Macaca mulatta: one gene and its partner. Each later gene encodes a partner of the first gene's protein in a complex. Links are inferred from orthologs where the notes say so. Each region holds a gene or a part of one and is shown on either strand. Other genes may lie near its edges.

Region 1 (12,092 bases):
AGACCAGTCTGGGTAACACGGCAACACCCTGTCTCTAAAAAGTTTTTTTTTTTTTTAATAAAATGTAAATACTTTAAAATATTTTTAAGGTTACATCTCACTAAAAAGAGCACCATGCTTTAGTGCTGGGTGCAGAATAAAACAATGTGGCCCATTTGGATGGTAGTTTGGAATACGATTTTAAAAGTCTTAATAATTCATGTCTGACACATGCTACCTCTGGGACTCCATCCCAAGGAAAGAATTCTAAATAGAGGCTTTTGTACAAAGATTTTTCAAAGCAGAATATTTTTCATACTGAATAATGTCGTGAATCTAAGTATCAAAGAAGGGTGAATGGTTGAGGTAATCTTTTTTTTTTTTTTTTTTTTTTGAGATGGAGTCTCACTCTGTCACCCAGGCAGGAGTGCAGTGGCGCAATGATCTTTGTTCACTGTAGCCTCTGCCTCCTGGGTTCAAGCGATTCTCCTGCCTCAGCCTCCCGAGTAGCTGGTATTACAGGCATGAGCCACTGTGACCAGCTAATTTTTCTATTTTTGTAGAGACTGGGTTTCACCATATTGGCCAGGCTGGCCTCAAACTCCTGACCTCATGTGATCCGCCTGCCTTGGCCTCCCAAAGTGCTGGGATTATAGGCGTGAACCACTGCACCTGGCCAAGGTAGTTTTAAAATATATTTTATTTTATTTTATTTTATTTTATTTATTTATGAGACAGAGTTTCCCTCTTATTGCCCAGGCTGGAGTACAGTGGTGCGATCTTGACTCACTGCTACCTTCGCCTCCCAGGTTCAAGTGATTCTCCTGCATCAGCCTCCTGAGTAGCTGGGATTACAGACATGCACCACCATGCCTGGCTAATTTTGTATTTTTAGTAGACATGGGGTTTCTCCATGTTGTTCAGGCTGGTCTTGAACTCCTGACCTCAGGTGATCCTCCTGCCTCGGCCTCCCATAAAGTGCTGGGATTATAGGCATGAGCCACCGCACCCGGCCAAAATATATTTTTAAAAGTATATCACTTGAAAAACTGTGTGTGTGTGTGTGTGTGTGTGTGTGTGTGTGTGTGTATGTGTGTGTGTATATGTGTGTGTGTGTGTGTGTATGTGTGTGTGTGTGTGTGTGTGTATGTGTGTATGTGTGTGTGTGTGTGTGTGTGTGTGTGTGTGTGTGTAAGTGTGTAAGAGACAAGGTCTCACTTTGTTGCCCAGGCTGGTCTCAAACTCCTGGGCCCAAGCGATGCTCCCACCATGCCCTCCCAAAGTATTGGGATTTACAGGCATGAGCCACAGCACCTGGCCTTTTTAAAAAATATATATGTTTTGTTTTTTCATTTTTTTTGTTTAATATTGGATGAAATGCAATATATTATGATTGTAGTTCTAGAAGTAAACTTCATATATTTAAGAAAATTTCTAGAAAAAAATAGAAACATCATACTGTCAGCCAGGCACAGTGGCTCACGCCTGTAATCCCAGCACTTTGGGAGGCCGAGGCAGGCTGATCACAAGGTCAGGAAATCGAGACCATCCTGGCCAACATGGTGAAACCCCGTCTCTGCTAAAAATACAAAAAATTAGCCAGATGTGGTGGCAGGCGCCTGTAGTCCCAGCTACTCGCGAGGCTAAGGCAGGAGAATGGTGTGAACCTCGGAGGCGGAGTTTGCAGTGAGCCGAGATCGCTTGGGCGCCGCAGTGAGACTCAGTCTCAAAAAAAAAAAAAAAAAAAAAAAAAATTATAGTGGAGGTCAAGAACTGGCTTCCAAATATTTAAATTCACCTCATGTCGATTGTGCCTGTATCCAGAATTTGGTCCTCCTTTCCCAATCCGCAAATTGTGACTAGACCTTAGTAACATTAGGGCCCTTAACTCAGTCTTCAACCCAGACAACAGTCAGGTAGAACAAATTAACTTTGGAAAATTTGGAAATGAACATGGGTTCTCTCTACTCCAGCTCCTTGTCTTCTCTGGCAAGTCCAGGTAAAAAGCTCATTGAGTAGGGAGAAACTGCTCCCTCCTCCTGAGAGGTTGAAATAATTTTTTTTAAAGAATAGGTTAAGCCGGGTGTGGTGGCTCACGCCTGTAATCCCAGCACTTTGGGAGGCCGAGGCAGGCGGATTACGTGAGGTCAGGAGTTCAAGACTAGCCTGACCAACATGGTGAAACCCCATCTCTACTAAAAATACAAAAAATTAGCTGGGCGTGGTGGCGGGCACCTGTAATCCCAGCAACTTGGGAGGCTGAGGCAGGAGAATCACTTGAACGCAGGAGGTGGAGGTTGCAATGAGCCGAGATCGTACCATTGCACTCCAGCCTGGGCAACAAGAGCGAAACTCTGTCTCCACAAAAAAAAAAAAAGAAAAAAAAAATAGGTTAAAAGGAATATCACATGAAAAACTATGTTACTTTGTATATATGGTGTATATAAGAAATATATAGAAGAGGCCGGGCATGGTGGCTCATGCCTGTAATCCCAGCACTTTGGGAGGCCGAGGCAGGCAGATCACCCAAGGTCAGGAGTTCTAGACCAGCCTGGCCAACACAGTGAAACCCTGTCTCTACTAAAAATACAAAAAATTAGCTGGGCGCGGTAGCTCACGTCTATAATCCCAGCTACTCGGGAGGCTGAAGCAGGAGAATCAATTGAACTCCAGAGGAGGAGGTTGCAGTGAGCTGAGATTGCACCACTGTACTGCAGCCTGAGCTACACAGTGAGACTCTGTCAAAAAAAAAAAAAAAAAAAGAAAAGAAAAGAAAGAAAGAAATATATAGAAGCAATCCACTTGCCCATAATGGGGAAAGAAATACAATACCACTTAGAACAATACAGTTTTCACCATTTCTGAGCTTACCTGTTTTTTCCACCTTGTGGATAAATAGATATTAGCTAAAGAGAGAATAAATGCTTATCTGTAAATTCTTTTGGTTTGATTTGTTTTTTTCTTTTTTTTGAGACAGGGACTGACTTTGTCCCCCAGGCTGGAGTGCAGTCGCGTGATCACAGCTCACTGCAGCCTAGACCCCCTGGGCTGAAGTGATCCTCTTGCCTTAGCCTCCCAAGTTGTTGGGCGTATAGGTGCCTGCCACCACACCTAGCTAATTTTTGTTTTTGATTTTTAGTGAGAAGAGGTCTTGCTGTGTTCCCAGGCTGATCTTGAACTCCCAGGCTCAAGCAATCCTCTTGCCTTGGCCTCACAAAATGCTGGGATTACAGGAGTGAGCCACCACTTCCGGCCCTTTATCTGTAAAATTTCGAAGCATCAAAGAAGGAAAGAGAGCTTAATTAATATCATCTTTAGTAGTTGAACGAACTCAAGGAGGAGAAATAATAGAAGAAAAGGTCATGGCTTTCATAATTCGTTGCAGCCATGAGTAAGAGCTGCTATAGTTATAGCATATATTCCCCGGTTCTTTTTTCATTCAAAAGACTGTACCTTTCGGAATTATGTCATTAATGATGAATTAATTAAAGTAGATGTTTGGGGTAGTGAGGCAGTTACTAAGTCCTTTCCACTGAAACCGAAGAACTGGGCATTTTATTCACGTTTGTGTTTCCTGATTTACAGTTGCTACAAGCGCCAATGTTGAAAACACATATTTCTGTGGCTCATCTTCGCCGTCTTTACTTGCAGTGCTTTCAAAGAGAACAATGGCTTTTTCTAGTTCAGAAATGGGTGCTACGTAGCTCAGAGCTAGGAGATTTCACGTGTTGTGAATACGAACAAACTGTTTTGTGATAAAGAACCAATGCAGTGGGGAAACCAACATCGATTACAGCAGTTATTCAGTGTATCTTTGTATTTGAGGGGAAGAAGGAGGGACACTGTTGTTTTGTTCTTATTTTTTTCCCTCTTTCTGTTCCCACTTTAGACAAAGCCCGTGGCATTTGCGGTTCGGACAAATGTCAGCTACAGTGCGGCCCATGAAGATGATGTTCCAGTGCCTGGCATGGCCATCTCATTCGAAGCAAAAGATTTTCTGCATGTTAAGGAAGTAAGGAGAATAATTTCATTTTCTATCAGCGTGATGTTTCACCTTGACATACCATTTCTTATTTCCTATTCAGATGCCATTTCTGTGAAGCAGCATCACACATCACTGCAGTTGTATAACATACATACTAAATCAATGGCTCTCAACCTCTGCTAATATAAATATACCTTTTAAAGTGGAAAGAAGTCACGGGCCTCTTGCAATAACTTCAGCGCTCCCTGGGGCTCTGTGGCCCAGAAATTGGGAACTGCTAGAGTAGATGATCCTTTTTTATACTTACCCTGTACTTCTTCTTTTAATGTTTCACCTTGACTAGGTGTAGTTTTCTGATGCCTGAAGTCTAGCCATCTGGGGAAGGTTTAATAATAATATCTAGAATTCGTGACTCCTCTCTGCTGGCAGTGTCTAAACTCAAACTACTGATGCCCTTTTTCCTCCTTAAATGCTAAATTTCTGCAGTGGATGAGAGAATGGTAAGCATTGATGCCAGTAAGGCAACAAAGAGGTATCAGGAAAAGTCCTTTTCCCACATGCTAAATGTCTCCACCTTTTAGTGAGCAATGATACAACCTGCAAACTGGAAACATTCATCCTTAATTAAGCTTTGCTTGGAGTCAACATTTATCAAATGCCTGCCTTGTGGAGCACTGTGTTAACTGACCAGAAATTTCCCCTGTAGAATATTCTCAGTGTGTGATCCTGAGATTTTTCTTGGACCTGGAGGAATTTATACTTGGAGCCCTTCCATGTAGGGTATAATATGTTATAGGAAGCATGTGTAAATTTAATCTCTTCACTGCACTAAAGGCTGTCAGCAAAGGAGTTGATGACTGCCAATTAAAAGAGCCTAGGGCCGGGCGCAGTGGCTCATGCCTGTAATCCCAGCACTTTAGGAGGCCAAGGCGGGCGGATCACAAGGTCAGGAAACCAAGACCATCCTGGCCAACATGGCGAAACCCTGTCTCCACTAAAAATACAAAAATTAGCTGGGTGTAGTGGTATATGCCTATAATCTCAGCTACTCGGGAGGCTGAGGTAGGAGAATAGCTTGAATCAGGGAGTCGGAGGTTGCAGTGAGCCGAGATCGCGCCGCTGCACCCCAGCCTGGCGACAGAGTGAGATTCAGTCTAAAAAAAAAAAAAAAAAAAAAAGAACCTAGAAGCCTGGATACTATGGCTCATGCCTGTAATCCAAGCGCTTTGAGAGGTCAAGGAAGCCTGATCTCTTGAACCCAGGAGTTTGAGACCAGCCTGGGCAACAGGGTAAAACCCCATCTCTACAAAAAAAAAAAAAATTAGCTGGGCATGGTGGCACACACTGGGAGTCCCAGCTACTCAGGAGGCTGAGGCCAGTGGATTGATTGAGCCTGGGAGTTCAAGACGGAAGCGAGCTGGGATCATGTCAATGTATTCCAGCCTGGGCGACAGAGCAAGACCCTATCTCGATTAAAAATAAAACAACCTAGAGAATTTAGAGCCTACCATTTTGGTAACCTCTGAAAAGAGATGTCAAATACTGGCTTGGTGGGAACAATAGAAAAAGTTATCAGAAGTGATGCTGTGCCTAGAATCTCACTTAACACCGGGAAGTTAGATTATTACGGGGCCTCTTCTTGATGGTTGGTGCTGAAAGGGGAAAGGAGAAAAACAGAATGTATATTCTTCTTTGAGGTGTTCAAGGACAGATTTATTCCATCAAGGAAAATGAAGGCAGATCATAAAGATTTAAGATACATATTCCACCTGCAAGAGATAAATTGTCAACATCACACAAGTAGAGAAATCATCTGTGAACATCGCACTGTGTAATTATAAAACTGTTTGCACAAAGGTAAATTGTCCTGTGACATGAAATATTTAAGGTAGACTTCAATATTTATCTCTTTCTCTCAATACTTCTGATTATATAAGGGGAATATTTCTGTAACACTACTTCCTAAAGATCTCTTGGTAGGATGGGCTGTTATTCTTTGAACCCAGAGAGCTTATCCCTACTCAAGGTGACAGCAGCTGCTGCAATGGAATTCAGCCTGGTCCTACGGCAGCACCAGGACAGACAAGGAACGAAGAGCCTTTGACAGATTGCTGAGGACACTAAAAACATTTCTTACATGTTAAACCCATGAGCCAAAGGGTTTCTTGAATGATAATATTTGAGGCATAGTTCATTGTCATTGCCATATTTCTCTCCACTGAAAATAGTGTGGAAGAACAAGGATTTGACCTTCTGTGCACTGATTTTTAATGCTTTTGATTTTGTGTTTAGAAATTTAACAATGACTGGTGGATAGGGAGACTGGTAAAAGAAGGCTGTGAAATCGGATTCATTCCAAGCCCAGTAAAACTAGAAAATATGAGGCTGCAGCATGAACAGAGAGCCAAGCAAGGGAAATTCTACTCCAGGTATGAGACAGATGTCAAGTGTTTGCATAAAACTTAGATTATACCACTATCTGTGTACTGTTGTCTGCTGTATTCTATATCCTTTATTATGTATTAACAAGGAGGCTGGTGATATGGTTTATTGATAGCATCACAAATCTTGCATTTTCCTGCATTTAAAAAACTTCAATCCACCACCTGATTTTCATCCTATTTGGGGAAGTATCAAATTATTATCATTAATGAAAAGAGCTAAGGTCACAGAGTATTAAATCCAGGCTCCAGTGCTGAGAAAATTCTGAAACCTTAATCGTTTACTGAAAAACAGTCTGGCACAGAATAGCCCTGGTGACTAATCCCACTGTCTGTAGCTGCCTGGTATGGCTAGGAGATGTTTGGGAGATGACAGTCTCAGACATCATCAGGAAATGGCAGCTCTTGTCATCTGTTAGTTTCATTTTCACCTGAGAAACTCAATTTTCAGTTCTACCCACTGTTAAGCACTTAAAGAGAAGCAAAGTATGAAACAAGTTAAAACTGCCTGTGCAGATGGCAATTAGATGAGTTATGTAAGAAGCTGGGGCTGAATAATCCCTCCTAGGATTCGTGAGGTTGTCTGCCCCTCTCTAAAAGAATCGCTAGAAAGCCTTCTCATACACATACTGAATTTTACATGGAATCATATGCAGACGGGTCTAGGGATGCAGCATGCCTCTCCCTATGTGAAAGGATGGGACATGGGCAAGGCCTTTCTTAAATGTGAATCGCTGGATTTCTGTTTTTGCCATCTTACATCTTATTTGTTTATCTAAGATGCAAATCCCTTTGTCAGTGATAATACTTTAATGTTAGCAAGTATTTTTTTCAAGCATCAGCAGATGAGTGAAACAGAATATGCTTTGTGGTTTGGAATACCCATCCTCATTAACTGGCTTTTTATAATTGTCAAGTTCATTTAGTTCAGATGGATTCCTCTGTGTTTTGAGACCTCCACCCCAGAACTGACTTTCATTAATTCCTGGGTTATTGAGAGTGCTCAGATGGTGAGATGCATTCAGTCAGATAAAAGTAGAGGCGTGCATAAAAAAGAACAAGATTGGCTGGGTGCAGTGGCTCATGCCTGTAATCCCAGAACTTTGGGAAGCTGAGGCAGACGGATCACCTGAGGTCAGGAGTTCAAGACCACCCTGGCCAACATGTTGAAACCCCATCTTTACTAAAAATACAAAAATTGGCCAGGTGTGGTGTTGGGCACCTGTAATCCCAGCTACGCAGGAGAATTACTTGAATCCGGGAGGTAGAGGTTGCAGTGAGCCCAGATCGTGCCACTGCACTCTAGCCTGGGTGACTGAGTGAGACTCCATCTCAAAAAAAAAAAAAAAAAAAAATAAGATCATGTCCTTTGCAGCAACCTGGATGGAGCTGGAGGCCATTATCCCAAGCGAACTAACACAGGAATAGAAAACCAAATACGGGGACCGGGCGCAGTGGCTCACACCTGTAATCCCAGCACTTTGGGAGGCTGAGGCGGGCGAATCACAAGGTTAAGAAATTTAGACCATCCTGGGCAACATGGTGAAACCCCATCTCTACTTAAAAAAAAAAAAATACAAAAATTAGCTGGGCATGGTGGCATGTGCCTGTAGTCCCAGCTACTTGAGAAGTTGAGGCAGGAGAATCGCTTGAACCCTGGAGGCGGAGGTTGAAGTGAGCCAAGATCGCGCCACTGCACTCCCGCCTGGCGACAGAGTGAGGCTCCATCTCAAAAAAACAAAAACAAACAAACAAAGAAAAACAAATACTGCATGTTCTCACTTGTAAGTGAGAACTAAACATTGAGAACATACGGACACCAGGAAGGGAACACTGGATACTGGGTACTACTTGAGGGTGGAGGATCGGGGGAGGGTGAGGATCAGAAAAACCACCTCCTGGTGTGTTATGTTCATTATCTGGGTGACAAAATAATTTGTACACCAAATCCCTGAGACATGCAATTTACCTGTGTAACAAACCTGGACATGTACCATTATTATCATTAGCAGCAGTAAATTATTCATTAGGCCAACATATATATAATGCATATTTTATATGCAATATTAAATATTAAATTTTTGTTGAAAATGCATTTCTTAATGAGAAAAAAAGTAGAGGCATGTAGATAAATAACGTATCTGCATTTTGCCTGCAGGGTGTTCGAAGACCTGATAGTATTCTTTCAATTCTTAATGTTCCATTGACCTTATTTTGTGTTTTCCTACCCTCTGTATTGAAAATGGTATCATAATACTAGTTAACAAAACCTTATGGCCAGGCGCGGTGGCTCATGCCTGTAATCCCAGCACTTTGGGAGGCCAAAGCAGGTGGATCACTTGAGGCCAGGAGTTTGAGATCAGCCTGGCCAACATGGTGAAACCCCGTCTCTACTAAAAATACAAAAGTAGCTGGGCGTGGTGGTGCATACCTGTAATCCCAGCTACTCAGGAGCCTGAGGTATGAAAATCACTTGAACTTGGAAGGCGGAGGTTGCAGTGAGCCGAGATCATGTTCCAACCTGGGCGACAGTGAAACTCCGTCTGAAAAAACAAACAAACAAAAGCCACCTTATATGGAAAAATGTTGTTGTAATAGGGTGTAGACATTGCTCTTATCAACTAGGTAGTATATAGTTTGTTGAGGTTTGAAGTTATCCCAGCTGGGGGATGTTTTGTTTTTAGTTAGGACAATTCAGCATTTTTCAGAATTTTCTTGTCAAATCACTTGAGAAAGGGGTTCCAAGATAAAATAAATTTAGGATAGTTCTAGGTAATAGAAAGTTACTTTAGGATTTTTCAGAGCCTTTTAATGTGATCATGGACACCGTGAATCTCTGGTGGAATGGGAATTTTTTTAAGTATTTACTAAAATTACTTTCTCATCAAAACTCTGGTTGATGTCTTAGGAAGAGTGTTTTGTAGAATGCATTTTGGAAAATTTGGGATGGATTTTTGCAGAGGCAGGCTTGTGTCTTTTTCTGCCTCTTCATACAGAAACTAAGAAATAAGAACAACTTCAAAGGGAGTAGAAATTTTTCCCAAAATTGTCAGAGAAATGTAGTCTCCTGTGTCTCCCAAATGGGCTTCCCTAGGCTAACATTAGTGCTCCACTCCTCTTTATAAGGACCTGTGGGAGCAGTGGGTATTAGATCTTACAGGTCACAGATGAGAAAACAGGTTAAGAGAAGTTAGAGAACTTGACCAAGGTCGCAGAGCTAGTAAGCGTCAGAACCAAGATGGCAACCTGACCTCCATGCTGTACAGACCTCCATGCTGTACTGCAAATTAAGGAGCCAGGTCTTGCCAGGCACAGCAAGCCCAGGACAAATGGTTATTGCCATCTGTTACTATTTACTTTATTAGATATGTTGTTTTGCTCTTGCATTTTTTTCCTTAGGATTCTGAGTTATCCGTATTTGGGGAAATGTAACACCTCAGAACTTACTCCAGAGAACTAGGTTACCTTTTCTTACAGCCATATATCTTTTTCTTTGATTTTCTTCATTTTATTTTGTCTCAAGATTTTGCCTAAGTATATGAAAATACTTTTACTTGCTTTCACAGGTTTTTACATTTCTCTTCTTTTTTTTTTTTTTTTTTTTTTCCCTTGTCTCGCTCTGTGCCCAGGCTTGAGTGTAGTGGCACAATCTGGGCTCACTGCAACCTCCACTCCCGGGTTCAAGTGATTCTCCTGCCTCAGTCTCTCTCCTGCCTCTCTCTCTGTAGCTGGGACTCCAGGCACGCGCCACCACGCCCAGCTCATTTTTGTATTTTTAGTAGATACAGGGTTTCACTGTGTTGGCCAGGCTGGTCTCAAACTCCCGACCTCAGGTGATCCACCCACCTTGGCCTCCCAGAGTGTTGGGATTACAGGCGTGAGCCACTGTGCCGGCCTCTTAACATTTTAAATGCAGTTTTGTTTTGAGGACATAACCAGAATCTGGCAGTCTTTAAAAACTCTGATACAGAAATTATAAAAATTGACAGAACTCAATGGAAATGGAATTGGGGTACAATTCAAGAACTTGGCATTTTAATAGAATTAAAAGTCAAGGACAAATCTGCATCCTAGCCATGGTCACCGTTTGCAGTATTTGTCACAATTTTATATAACTCAAATAATATTTGGCTGTTACTAAAATTCAAAGGAAATATAAAACCCATGAACTTGAACTGAAATTAGACTTAATACTTTAGGGGGAAAAAAATGTTTTGGTCTTGGTAATAGGTCCTTGTATAACTGCCAGAAACTGCTTTTATAAATATCACTTGTCATTAATTTCACATACTGTCTGATGCCCTTACTAAATGTATTTGAGTATCTCTTAACCTTAAACAGATATAGAGCCCTCTTGCTAATTGCCTAATAGTTTTTGATGTTTATGCATAAAAATGCTAGAACAGTAGCAATAACATTCAGCCTGTTACTGATACTTTAATAAAACTTTTATTTTCATATTAATATTTACATAAGCAAATATTGCCCTTTGATGCATAAACGCTGTAGCAAATTCTTTCAACTAGACCCTGGCTTGGCCATAATAATAAACATTAGGCAGTGAGATCATTTTGCCCAAATTTAAAATGTTCTTCTCATCTTCATCTGAGAGAGGGGTCATTCAGTAACATGTTATTTAGCATGCCAGTATGCTGGTGAAAAACACAAATGCTGTTGTTCTAATATTAACTCCAATGTTTCTGAGACACTGAAGTTTATCTTACATCAAACTTTCGAATTTGGTAGTTCTGAAATGTATGATGTTCAGATTATTCCTAAATTAACCAAGTTTCATTCTCCATGTGAGTCATGCTTGAGAAATATTCTGGGCACTATCTGATGACTGCATCATATCAATTCTGTTTAGTCGTGTCTCTTCGTGTGTCTTTTAGTGGTTGGCAAGTTTTCATGTGGCTCTGTTGTTCTTTGATAGGTTGCTCATAAAAGCTTGCGTGCTTTCAATCTTAGTATACTATTAATAAAATAAGCCTAAAACAGAGGAGCTGCAACCAAACAAGAAGGAAATATTAATCTTGGGTGTTAGCCTTAAGGTTCTATGCATCACCTCTGAGGGTCTCTAAAATAAAAAGCAAAATAAATCTGTGCTGTTTCGCTATCTGTGATCTGGGCAGATAATTTGAGGGCTGCAGAAATTACACTGGTTCTCTTCCATTCTCTCAGGGCCTTTTAAAATTAAACCTTCAATTTGAAATCAGAGACCATCATGTGCCTATTTCAAGTACTCCAGGAATCTCCACTGGGAAATACTGTTTTCTTCCTTAAATGAAAGATAAATTTAAAGTTGAATAAAAACACAATGAATTATCATGTTTATTGAGTAACACAAACGTTTGAGGATCTGAAATAAGTATCAGATTTAATAGAAATTTTTGCTTTACTCCAGTAAATCAGGAGGAAATTCATCATCCAGTTTGGGTGACATAGTACCTAGTTCCAGAAAATCAACACCTCCATCGTCTGGTAAGTAGGTGATAAATGCTAAATAATACATATTGCATTTCATGCTTTCCCCAGTCCTATCCAGTTTTGTGAATTTACATATGCACTGAATCACTATGTTAACCCTACAGACATTAAAAGGAATCAGAAGTAAGCATGCCCTTTTGGAGTTACAAACAATATGGGGAAATGTTTTTTCTGGCTGGAAAAAAAAGTATGTCAAAGTA
Region 2 (10,762 bases), on another chromosome or scaffold:
GAGCCTGCCAGAGCCCCTGCGTGCCCAGCAGAATGACACCGCACTCTCTGCCAGGCCTCTGTCCTTGCTACAGGTCCCTCCCCTCAACTCACAGTGTGTCTCCTCCTTTGCAGAGAAGAACTGTTCCTACTTCAGGCATTTTAACCCCGGCGAGAGCTCAGAGATCTTCGAATTCACTACTCAGAAGGGTGAGCCTGGGTGGAAAGGGGGCTGGGGTGACAAGAGGGGACTTCTGTGTCATGCATCACTGGGCCAGAAAGCCATTGGGGGCAAAAGCACTGACTTCCTCAGGCCTGATGAGAAGAAGCCCATGGTGCATTTGAACAACAGCCTTGTCACCTCTCTGCTCCGGAGGCCCCAGGTAGCCGCCTTCCATCTCCAGGGCCCAGAGCTTCCACACCTCGGGGCCAGGGAGCGTTTGCAGAAGCAGCACTTCCTGGCAAGCTCCTACCCAAGGGCAGCTGTTGTGATGGGAGCTGTGGATGTGGAACAAGTGCTCGGAGGCCCTGTGGTGGCTCTTGGTGGGATGTGATGGTTAGAGTCTTCAGGGACAGTCTGAGTCCCTCCCTGGCCTAGAAATCCCTCCCCAAGTACCGAGAGGGCGCAGTGGGCTCTGGAGCTTTTCAGGACCCACAGAGCTCAGACGCACACCCACTGTCGGGACACACACCTGTGCCTGCCCGCGCCTAGACAGCTGCACACAGGGTGAGTGGGTACACACACAGACGCACACTGACACACACAGACACACAACACAGATACACACATACAATGACACACACAAGACACAGACACACAGACACACACTGACACACACAGACACACAACACAGATACACACATACAATGACACACACAAGACACAGACACACACTGACAGACACACGCAACACAGATACACACATACAATGACACACACAAGACACAGACACACAGACACACACTGACACACAGACACACGCAACACAGATACACACATACAATGACACACACAAGACACAGACACACAGACACACACTGACACACAGACACACGCAACACAGATACACACATACAATGACACACACAAGACACAGAGACACTGACACACACTGACACACACAACACAGATACACACATACAATGACACACACAAGACACAGACACACACACACTGACACACGTACAATGACACACACACAGTGACACACACAGACACACACAACACAGATACACACATACAATGACACACACAAGACACAGACACACAGACACACACACTGACACATGTACAATGACACACACACAGTGACACACAGGCAATGACACACAGACATACAATGACACAAGGCAATGACACACACAATGACACACACGATGATACACAAGACAATGACACACAAGGCACACACACAGAGACACACTGACACACATGTACAATAACACACAAAATGACACACATGACATACTGACACAATTACACACACAGTTACACACACAAGACACAGGCACACACAGAAACACACACTGAGACACATATACAATGACACACACAATTACACACAATGACACACAAAATGACACAATGACACACATGACACCACACAATGACACACAATGACGCACACACCACACAATGACACACAATGACACACACAAGACACAGTGACACACACAAGACAATGACACACACAATGACACACAAGACACATAGACACAGACACACACACATGTACAATGACACCCACACAATGAGACCCACACAAGACACACAGAAACACATACTGACACAATGACACAAGATACACACAGAGACACACACTGACACACGTACCATGACATACACACAATGACACACACAAGACACACAGAGACACACTGACACACATGTACAATGACATGCACACGACATGCAGTGACACACAATGACACACACAAGACACAGTGACACACACAAGACTGACACAATGACACACAAGACAGACACACAGAGACACACACACGTACAATGACACCCACACAATGACACCCACACAAGACACACAGAAACACATACTGACACAATGACACAACACAATGACACAAGACACACACAGAGACACACACTGACACATGTACCATGACATACACACAATGACACACACACAAGACAGAGACACACTGACACACATGTACATTGACATGCACATGACATGCAGTGACACACAATGACACACGAGACACAATGACACAAGACACAGTGACACACAGGCAATGACACAGACACTAACATGCACAGATACATGTACACACCAGCACATGCAGACACACATACACACAGTGACACACCAACACACTGACAGACCCAGATACACATGCACACACTACCATACGCAGACACTAAACACATTCTGACAGATCCTCACATATGTGACACATACATGAACACACACACTAACCACACACAGACACGCACACTGCCACACACACTGGCAGAGCCTCACGTGCACCGGGCTGCGTGACAAGCCACCCTGTGGTCCTTTGCTCCTTAACCCCAGGCAGACCACCCGCCACCCCAGTGCCTCCTGCCCTGTCACTCGAGGAAAGTTTCTGCTCTGGAAAGGCCTCCAGCCACTTGCCTCTCGCCTCTGCCCCCGGTGGGGACCTTGCAGCCTGATGCTCTGGGAAGACATGGGTAGAAGAAGCCCCATGGCAGCCTGGCTCTGCGTGGGCCTTAGGGAAGGACTTGGCCCCTGGGGCTGTCGGCTTTCTCGTGTGTGAGATGGGAATTGTGGTGCATGGGGTGGTCCCTAACCAGCCACCATGAGAGCTCCTGGACTGAGGCCGCATGCCGGGTGTCCCTTGTGTTTGCAGAGTACAGCATCTCGGCAGCCGCCATCGCCATCTTCAGCCTTGGCTTCGTCATCCTGGGCAGCCTCTGTGTCCTCCTGTCCTTTGGGAAGAAGAGGGACTACCTGCTGCGGCCCGCGTCCATGTTCTACGCTTTTGCAGGTAGACTGGGGGCTCCGCCCGAGCACCGGACTGGGGGGACCATGTCGTGGGGGATTCTCCGCTCCACTCTCATGCCCACCGTGGGATTTGGGTAGGGGGCATTTCCCAGGCTCCATCCCCATCCAGGGGCAAACCTGGCCAAGCCCTCAGCGACCCCAGGTGGGCTGGAGGGAGACAGAGCTTGGCGGTCTGTCCATTCCTCCCCATGATTCAACCCTCAAGGCCCCAAAGAAACTGCCCAGAGAATGATTAACAGAAGAAGGAAAGAAACGTGGTCGCCTTTCTTTCTTTTTCTTGGGGGATGAGGAAGAGGGTCTCGCTCTGTCGCCCAGGCTGGAGTGCAGTGGAACGATCACAGCTCACTGCAGCCTCGAACTCCTGAGTTGAAGGGTTCCTCCCGCCTCAGCCTCCTGAGTACCTGGGACTACAGACGTGCACCACCACACCTGGCTAAGTTTTTATTACATTTTAATTTTTTGTAGAGACAGAGGGCTCATCACTATGTTGCCCAGGCTAGTCTCAAACTCCTGGCCTCAAGCGATCCTCCTGCCTCAGCCTCCCAAAGTGCTGGGATTACAGGCATGAGCCACCGTACCCGGCCATGTGGTCGTCCTTCTAAGGGATGCAGGAATAGGGTGGTGCGTGGACAAATGGATCCTTCTGCAGGCTCCCAGCTAGAACCTGCCTTGAGGCAGCTTTTCCCCCAAGGCAAGGTCACTGCCTCCTCCATGCACACAGGCTGGGGTGGGGCTGGGGGTAACGGCAGGCACCCGTCGGTCCCTGAGCGTACCTGGCTCCGCCCCCAGGTCTCTGCATCCTGGTCTCGGTAGAGGTCATGCGGCAGTCGGTGAAGCGCATGATTGACAGTGAGGACACCGTCTGGATCGAGTACTATTACTCCTGGTCCTTCGCCTGCGCCTGTGCTGCCTTCGTCCTCCTCTTCCTCAGTGGTCTCGCCCTCCTGCTGTTCTCCCTGCCTCGAATGCCCCGGAACCCATGGGAGTCCTGCATGGATGCTGAGCCTGAGCACTAGCCCTCCTGTGGCCCTAGCGACCCTCAGGCTTCTTCTCCAGGAAGCCATGTCTCAGCCCGGAACCTTCCAGAGGGGAGGCGGGAGCAATTTTAGCTCCACCCTGCTCCCATCTGCCCCCTGCCACAGTCGCAGGCTGCTTCCTCTCTCTGAGCTCCTCTGGGCTGCCGCAGGCTCCCCTGGGAATAGAGCAAGAGGATGTCAGTCTCAATCTGGCCACAGTTGGGAAAGGCAGGGCCAGCAGGTGGACAGGTGTTTGCAAGGGCCCCACTTCCCCTGGAGCTCAGAGGTGTCCCCACTGTACCAGCCTCTGATAAGCTGCCTCCGGTTGTCCTTTATGAACATTGCAGGGACAACCTGTGTTTGCCAGTTCTTGGTGTTCTGTGTAAATAGCCAGCCCCTCCCTTTCTCAGTGATAAAACACACCCTCTCTGGTGAGCGCAGCGTCCCCTCCTTGGCTTCCAGGAGCCCTGGGAAGCATTTTTAACTGAGTAGAATCTGTCTGTGGCTTGAAATAAAAAGCTCTCAGAAAACTCACGTTTTCTTCACACCTTGCATAGAAATTGCTCAGATTCCTGGTCACATCAGGGGCCCCCTGACGCGGAATGAGAAGGGAAGGCAGGTCACCCGGGTACGTTGAGGACTTTTGTGGGGACAAGAGGGCAACACACGTGGCTTAGAGGCTCTGAATTCCAACTCAGACAGGGTTTCTCTAGGCCCTGAGATTGTTTTCGGGAGAAACTAGAAACCTTCTGATGAAGCAAGGGTGTTAAAAATAGGAGGGGTTATTTCTAGAGCCTGGCATGCAACGCACCTGGTGCCAACGCAGCGCTAAAGCAGCCAGCCAGTGTCTGATTTCTGATGCTGGATTTCTGTTGTGAAGAACATCAGGAAGCAGGGCTTAGCAGTTAGATGCTTAGGGCCACATGAAAAGCCATGATTTGCACACTTCTGCCTTCCAGAGCCCCACAGTACTTGCCCAAGCTTCCGAAGTGGAGTTCAGACATGATTGGCAGATGGGATCTTTGCCTTGCACCCTGGAGAACCCACTGGAGTTCATGCTCCTAGGGCAAGGTTTGGCAAACTGTGGCCTGTTGGCCACACCTGGCCTGCCCCCTCTTGCTGTATGGCCCACAAGTAAAAGGTAGTTTTTACAGTTTTAAATTGTTCAAAACATTAAATTAAAAAAAAAAAAAAAGCCAGGCTCAGTGGCTCACACCTGTAAATCCCAACACTTTGGGAGGCCAAGGTGGGTGGATCACGAGGTCAGGAGTTCAAGACCAGCCTGGCCAAGATGATGAAACCCCATCTCTATTAAAAACACAAAAAATTAGCCAGGCGTGGTGGTGTGCACCTGTAATCCCAGCTACTCAGCAGGCTGAGGCAGGAGAATCGCTTGAACCCGGGGGGGCGGAGGTTGCAGTGAGCCAAGATTACGCCATTGCACTCCAGCCTGGGCAACAGAGTGAGACTCCATCTCAAAACATTAAAAAAAAAAAACCCAAAACAATCAAGGAACTGGGCATCGTGGCTCACACCTATAATCTCAGTACTTTGGAAGGCTGAGGCAAGAGGACTGTTTGAGTCCAGGAGTTTGAGACCACACTGGGCAACATAGCAAGACTCCATCTCTACAAAAAATAAAAATAAAATAATTTAAAGATAAAAAGAAGAAGAATCTCTCATGACATATGAAGATGATACGAAATTCACATCTCAATGTCTGTAAATAAAGTTAGATTAGAACCCAGCCACACCCATTCTGTGGCTGCTTTCGTCACCATTGAGTAGTTTCAACAGAGATCTTCTGTCCTGCAATGCTGAAAATATTTACTATCTGACCCTGTATAAAAACGTGTGTTTACCCTTGTTCTGGAGAAAAACTGTACAAACATCAGCCCACATATCAACCCCTTACTAGTCCCATCTGAAAGCTGAGGGGAAGTTCATTCTTTCAATTTGCCTGCGGTACCTCGGGGGTGGGGGGCTGGGCTAGGAGGGGTGTCAGAGGAGACTCACTCAAAGATGCAAAGATCCAGCCAGGAAATAAACTTGCTCGAGGTAAAGGAGAATCAGAAGATGACAGTCCCGGCCAGCCAGGGAGCTGAGGCCACAATTTATGAGTAAGAAGGAAGAGAGATAACTTCCTCCCATTGATAACCATTCTGGAGGTTGATATTATCGGGTTTTTTCTTTTTTGAGACAGGGTCTCACTCTGGAGTACAGTGCCCAGGCTGGAGTACAGTGGCACAATCACAGCTCACTGTAGCCTCGAGTTCCTAGGCTCAAGTGATCCTCCTACCTCAGCCTCTCAAGTAGTGGGGACTGCAGGCGTGCGCCACCACACCCAGCTAATTTTTTTCATTTTTTGTTGAGACGGGGTTTCAATATGTTGCCCAGGCTGGTCTCTAACTCCTCAGCTCAAGCAATCCACTAGCCTTGGCCTCCCAAAGTGCTGACATTACAGGCATGAGGCCACCACACCCAGCCTGCTTTTTTTTTTTTTTTTTCTAACAGATTGGAGTCTTGCTACACTGCCCAGGCTGGCCTCAAACTTCTGGGCTCCAGCAGTCCTCCTGCTTCAGTCTCTGGAGTAGCTGGGATTACAGGTGTGAGCCACTATGCCTGGCTCCCATATTATTGTTTTATTACTCTTTTTACTTTTAGCAGAATCAGACTGGCGTGCCTTTTTTCTTTTCTTTTCTTTTCAGTTCTCTTTTTTCTCTTCTCTTTTCTCTTCTCTATTTTCTCTCTCTTCTCCCTTCTCTTCTCTTCTCTTCTCTTCTCTTCTCTTTTCTTTTCGATGGAGTCTTGCTCTGTCACCCAGGCTGGAGTGCAGTGGTGCGATCTCAGCTCACCGCAACCTCCACCTCCCAGGTTCAAGCCATGCTCCTGCCTTAGCCTCCCAAGTAGCTGGGATTACAGGTGCCTGACACCACACCCAGCTAATTTTTGTATTTTTGGTAGAGACGGGGTTTCACCATGTTGGCCAGGATGGTCTCAAACTCCTGACCTCAGGTGATCTACCCACCTCGGCCTCCCAGAGTGGTGGGATTACAGGTGTGAGCCACCGTGCCCAGGGCCTTGGCATGCGTTTTCTACTTCCTCATGGGTGCCTATGGGTTGGTGCCCCCAAAAGACATCTGAATGGAATATCCACCAAACAGAATACATTCGGCTTCCCAGGCTTTTAACTCTTTTAAGATATACTTCAGCACAGCCAGAACTGCAATGCAAACCAAAGGGTTGGAGGCTGTCTGCCAGAGAGCCACACATCCTGGCATCTGCCCCAGAAAGAGGCAATGGAGCAAAGCAAAATAGAGTCAACCAAACCAATGAGGGAAAACGTCTTACTCCCCACCTGCCAAATGCTGCTTGCCAGAAGGATGTCCAGAGGGGAAAATGGTCGGCTTTGGCAGGGACTGAAGGCCTCACTTCAGGGTCCGTGCAGGTCCTGCTCTGAAGGCCACCCACAGCCCAACCACAGAACAACAGTGCCATCTGCCCTGAAGCCTATGGTTGGCCTCAGAAGCCCATGGCTTCTCACTCCTTGCTTGGAACTGCGTGACTGACTCTCTCTTTCTTTCTTTCTTTCTTTCTTTCTTTCTTTCTTTCTTTCTTTCTGTCTGTCTGTCTGTCTGTCTGTCTGTCTGTCTGTCTTTCTTTCTTTTCTTTCTTTCTGTCTTTCTTTCTTTCTCTTTCTTTCCTTCCTTCCTTCCTTCCTTTCTTTCTTTCTTTCTTTCCTTCCTTCCTTCCTTCCTTCCTTCCTTCCTCCTTTCCTTTCCTTTCCTTCCTTCCCTCCCTCCCTCCTACCCTCCCTCCTTCCTTCCTTCCTTCTTTCCTTCTTTCCTTCCTTCCTTCCTTCCTTCCTTCCTTCCTTCCTTCCTTCCTTCCTTCCTTCCTTCCTTCCCTCTCTCTCTCTCTTTCTTTCTTCTCTTTTTTTTTGATGGAGTCTCGCTCTGTCGCCCAGGCTGGAGTGCAGTGGCACAATCTCAGCTCACTGCAAACTCCGCCTCCCCGATTCAATTGATTCTCCTGCCTCAGCCTCCTGAGCAGCTGGGATTACAGGCACCTGCCACCACGCCAGGCTAATGTTTTTACTTTTAGTAGAGACGGGGTTTCGCCATGTTGGCCAGGCTGGTCTCGAACTCCGGACCTCGGGTGATCCGCCCACCTCATCTCCTGGAATTGCGTGACTTTGACACCCAGCACAACTTGATGTCCTGTCACACTTGCAATTTCTCAGCATTTTTTGTTTATCTATTTATTTTATTATTATTATTTTTGAGACAGAGGCTTACTCACCATCCAGGCTGGAATGCAGTGGAGGGATCTCAGCTCACTGCAGCCTTGACCTCCTGGGTTCAAGTGATCCTCCCGTCTCAGCCTCCCGAGTAGCTGGGACCACAGGCACACGCCACCACACCTGGTTAATTTCTGTATTTTTTTTTTTTTTTTTTTTTAGAGACAGGGTTTCGCCATGTTGCCCAGGCTTTCTCGGCTTTTTTACATCCATCATCTTCCCTGAGGCAAAGAAGGCAGCAGAGGCAGGACCAGCAACTAGTTCATCAAGATCCAGACTTAAGTGCGATTTTTTAAGAACTGTGGTAAAATATACATAATGTAAAATTACCATCTTAATCACGTTTACGTGTAGAGTTCAGTAGCATTAAATACACTCACATTGTGCAACTCTGACCACCGTGCATCTCCAGAACGCTTCGTCATCCCAAGCTGAAACTCACAAGCACTTACTCCACGTCCTCTCCTTCCCACAGCCACCCTTCCACTTTCTGTCTCTGGGAGTTTGACTCCTCTAGGTACCTCAGATCAGTGGAATCACGGAGTATTGATCTTTTTGTGACTGGTTCATTTCCCTCGGCTGCTGATGCCTTTAAGGTTCATTCACACGGTACCAGGTATCAGAACTCTCTTCCTTTTTCAGGCTCAGCAATATCCCACTCTACGTAGTCCCATATTTTGTTTATCCACTCGTCCATTGATGGACGCTGGGTTGTTTCCAACTCTTGGCTCTTGTGACTTACTGCTGCTATCAACATGGCTTCACACTCTGCTTCAGTCCCTGCTTTCGGTTGTTTTGGATATACTGACTGGGACTTTTTTTAAAATTAAAATTAATGCAAAATCACCACAACACAATATCGAAACTATTAGGTCGGTGCAAATGCAATTGCAGTTTTTGCCATTGAAAGGAATGGCAAAAACTGGCCAGGAGCGGTGGCTCACGCCTGTAATCCCAGCACTTTGGGAGGCCGAGGCGGACGGATCACCTGAGGTCCGGAGTTTAAGACGAGCTTGGCCAACATGGTGAAATCCTGTCTCTACTAAAAATACACACACAAAAAAAAGTTAGCCAGGCGAGGTGGTGGGCACCTGTAATCCCAGCTACTTGGGAGGCCGAGGCAGGAGACTCACTGGAACCTGTGAGGTGGAGGTTGCAATGAGCCAAGATCCTGCCACTGCATTCCAGCCTGGGTGACAGAGCAAGACTCTGTCTCAAAAAAAATGGCAGCCGGGTGCAGTGGCTCACGCCTGTAATCCCAGCACTTTGGGAGGCCGAGGTGGGCGGATCACGAGGTCAGGAGATCGAGACCATCCTGGCTAACACGGTGAAACCCCGTCTCTACTAAAAATACAAAAAATTAGCCGGGCGTGGTGGCAGGTGCCTGTATTCCCAGCTACTCAGGAGGCTGAGGCAGGAGAATAGCGTGATCCCGGGAGGTGGAGGTTGCAGTGAGTCGAGATCCTGCCACTGCACTCCAGCCTGGGCAACAGAGCGAGACTCTGTCTCAAAAAAAAAAAAAAAAAAAAAATAGTAATGGCAAAAACTGCAATTATGTTTGCACCAACCTAAATTAGAACCAAGGCTGCTGGTTTCCCACCAGTCTGATGAGAGCCCTTCCCAATCCTCACTTGGCCTCTGCCCAGGTTCCTGGGAGAACCAAGAGATGGCTCCCTCTCTCTCTGGCCAGCACATGGTAGGACCTGCTCCAGTGGCTTGGTGCTTAGTCCCTCCTTAAACTGAAAATTACAAGGATCTCTGTGTACCTCTATTTTTTTTCTGGCTGTGCTGGTAAAGATGGATTTTAATCACATCCTATCTCAATATTTCCCCTAGTGAGACTTGTTCCATTTTGACCAAATATTTTATTTACAAATCCATTTCTAATTTATACCCTGCCTGCTTTCAGAAACGATTAGAAGTGGAGACAAGGTATTAATAAACCTATGATGTGGAAAGTATCTATTAAACCAATGATTGGTATTCAGGCTGGGACGCAGCTGCCCCTGGCCTCCCCAACCCTTCGTTTCTCAGTCTCACTCAATTGCAACCACTGAAGCCATAAAGTAATCCCCACACAAGGCATTGATCCTGCACACTGGAGAAAGTTATTTAAGGTCATTGCCATTACAAGCAGTGATACTTTCTGTCCTTTTGACTTTGCTTCTGACAAGAATTTTTGCCTAAATGTGAAAGCCCGGACTTTTTGGAAATGTTCATCATTTAGGGGACATGACTTTCATACATAGCTAGCTCTACCTTACTGCTACATTATTATTATTATTATTATTATTTGACACAGAGTCTTGTTCTGTCGCCCAGGCCGGAGTGCAATGGCACAATCTTGGCTCATTGCAAGGCTGGAGTGCAGTGGCGCAATCTCGACTCATTGCAACCTCTGCCTCCTGGGTTCAAGCAATTCTCCTGCCTCAGACTCCCAAGTAGCTGTGACTACAGGCA

Evidence for each region.
Region 2: CACNB2 (region 1) and CACNG1 share a complex: the UniProt entries of both Homo sapiens proteins name them as parts of the calcium channel complex. The link is inferred for Macaca mulatta from reciprocal best matches to the Homo sapiens genes CACNB2 and CACNG1.

Annotation. Positions count from the first base shown.
Region 1 is NC_133414.1:20,061,812-20,073,903, forward strand, and holds part of CACNB2 (voltage-dependent L-type calcium channel subunit beta-2), read left to right. Parts: intron 1-3,868; coding exon 3,869-3,991; intron 3,992-6,256; coding exon 6,257-6,393; intron 6,394-11,809; coding exon 11,810-11,886; intron 11,887-12,092. UniProt on the Homo sapiens protein: Beta subunit of voltage-dependent calcium channels which contributes to the function of the calcium channel by increasing peak calcium current. Plays a role in shifting voltage dependencies of activation and inactivation of the channel.
Region 2 is NC_133421.1:76,806,162-76,816,923, forward strand, and holds the end of CACNG1 (voltage-dependent calcium channel gamma-1 subunit), read left to right. Parts: intron 1-113; coding exon 114-188; intron 189-2,831; coding exon 2,832-2,969; intron 2,970-3,775; coding exon 3,776-4,002; 3' UTR 4,003-4,532; downstream 4,533-10,762. UniProt on the Homo sapiens protein: Regulatory subunit of the voltage-gated calcium channel that gives rise to L-type calcium currents in skeletal muscle. Regulates channel inactivation kinetics.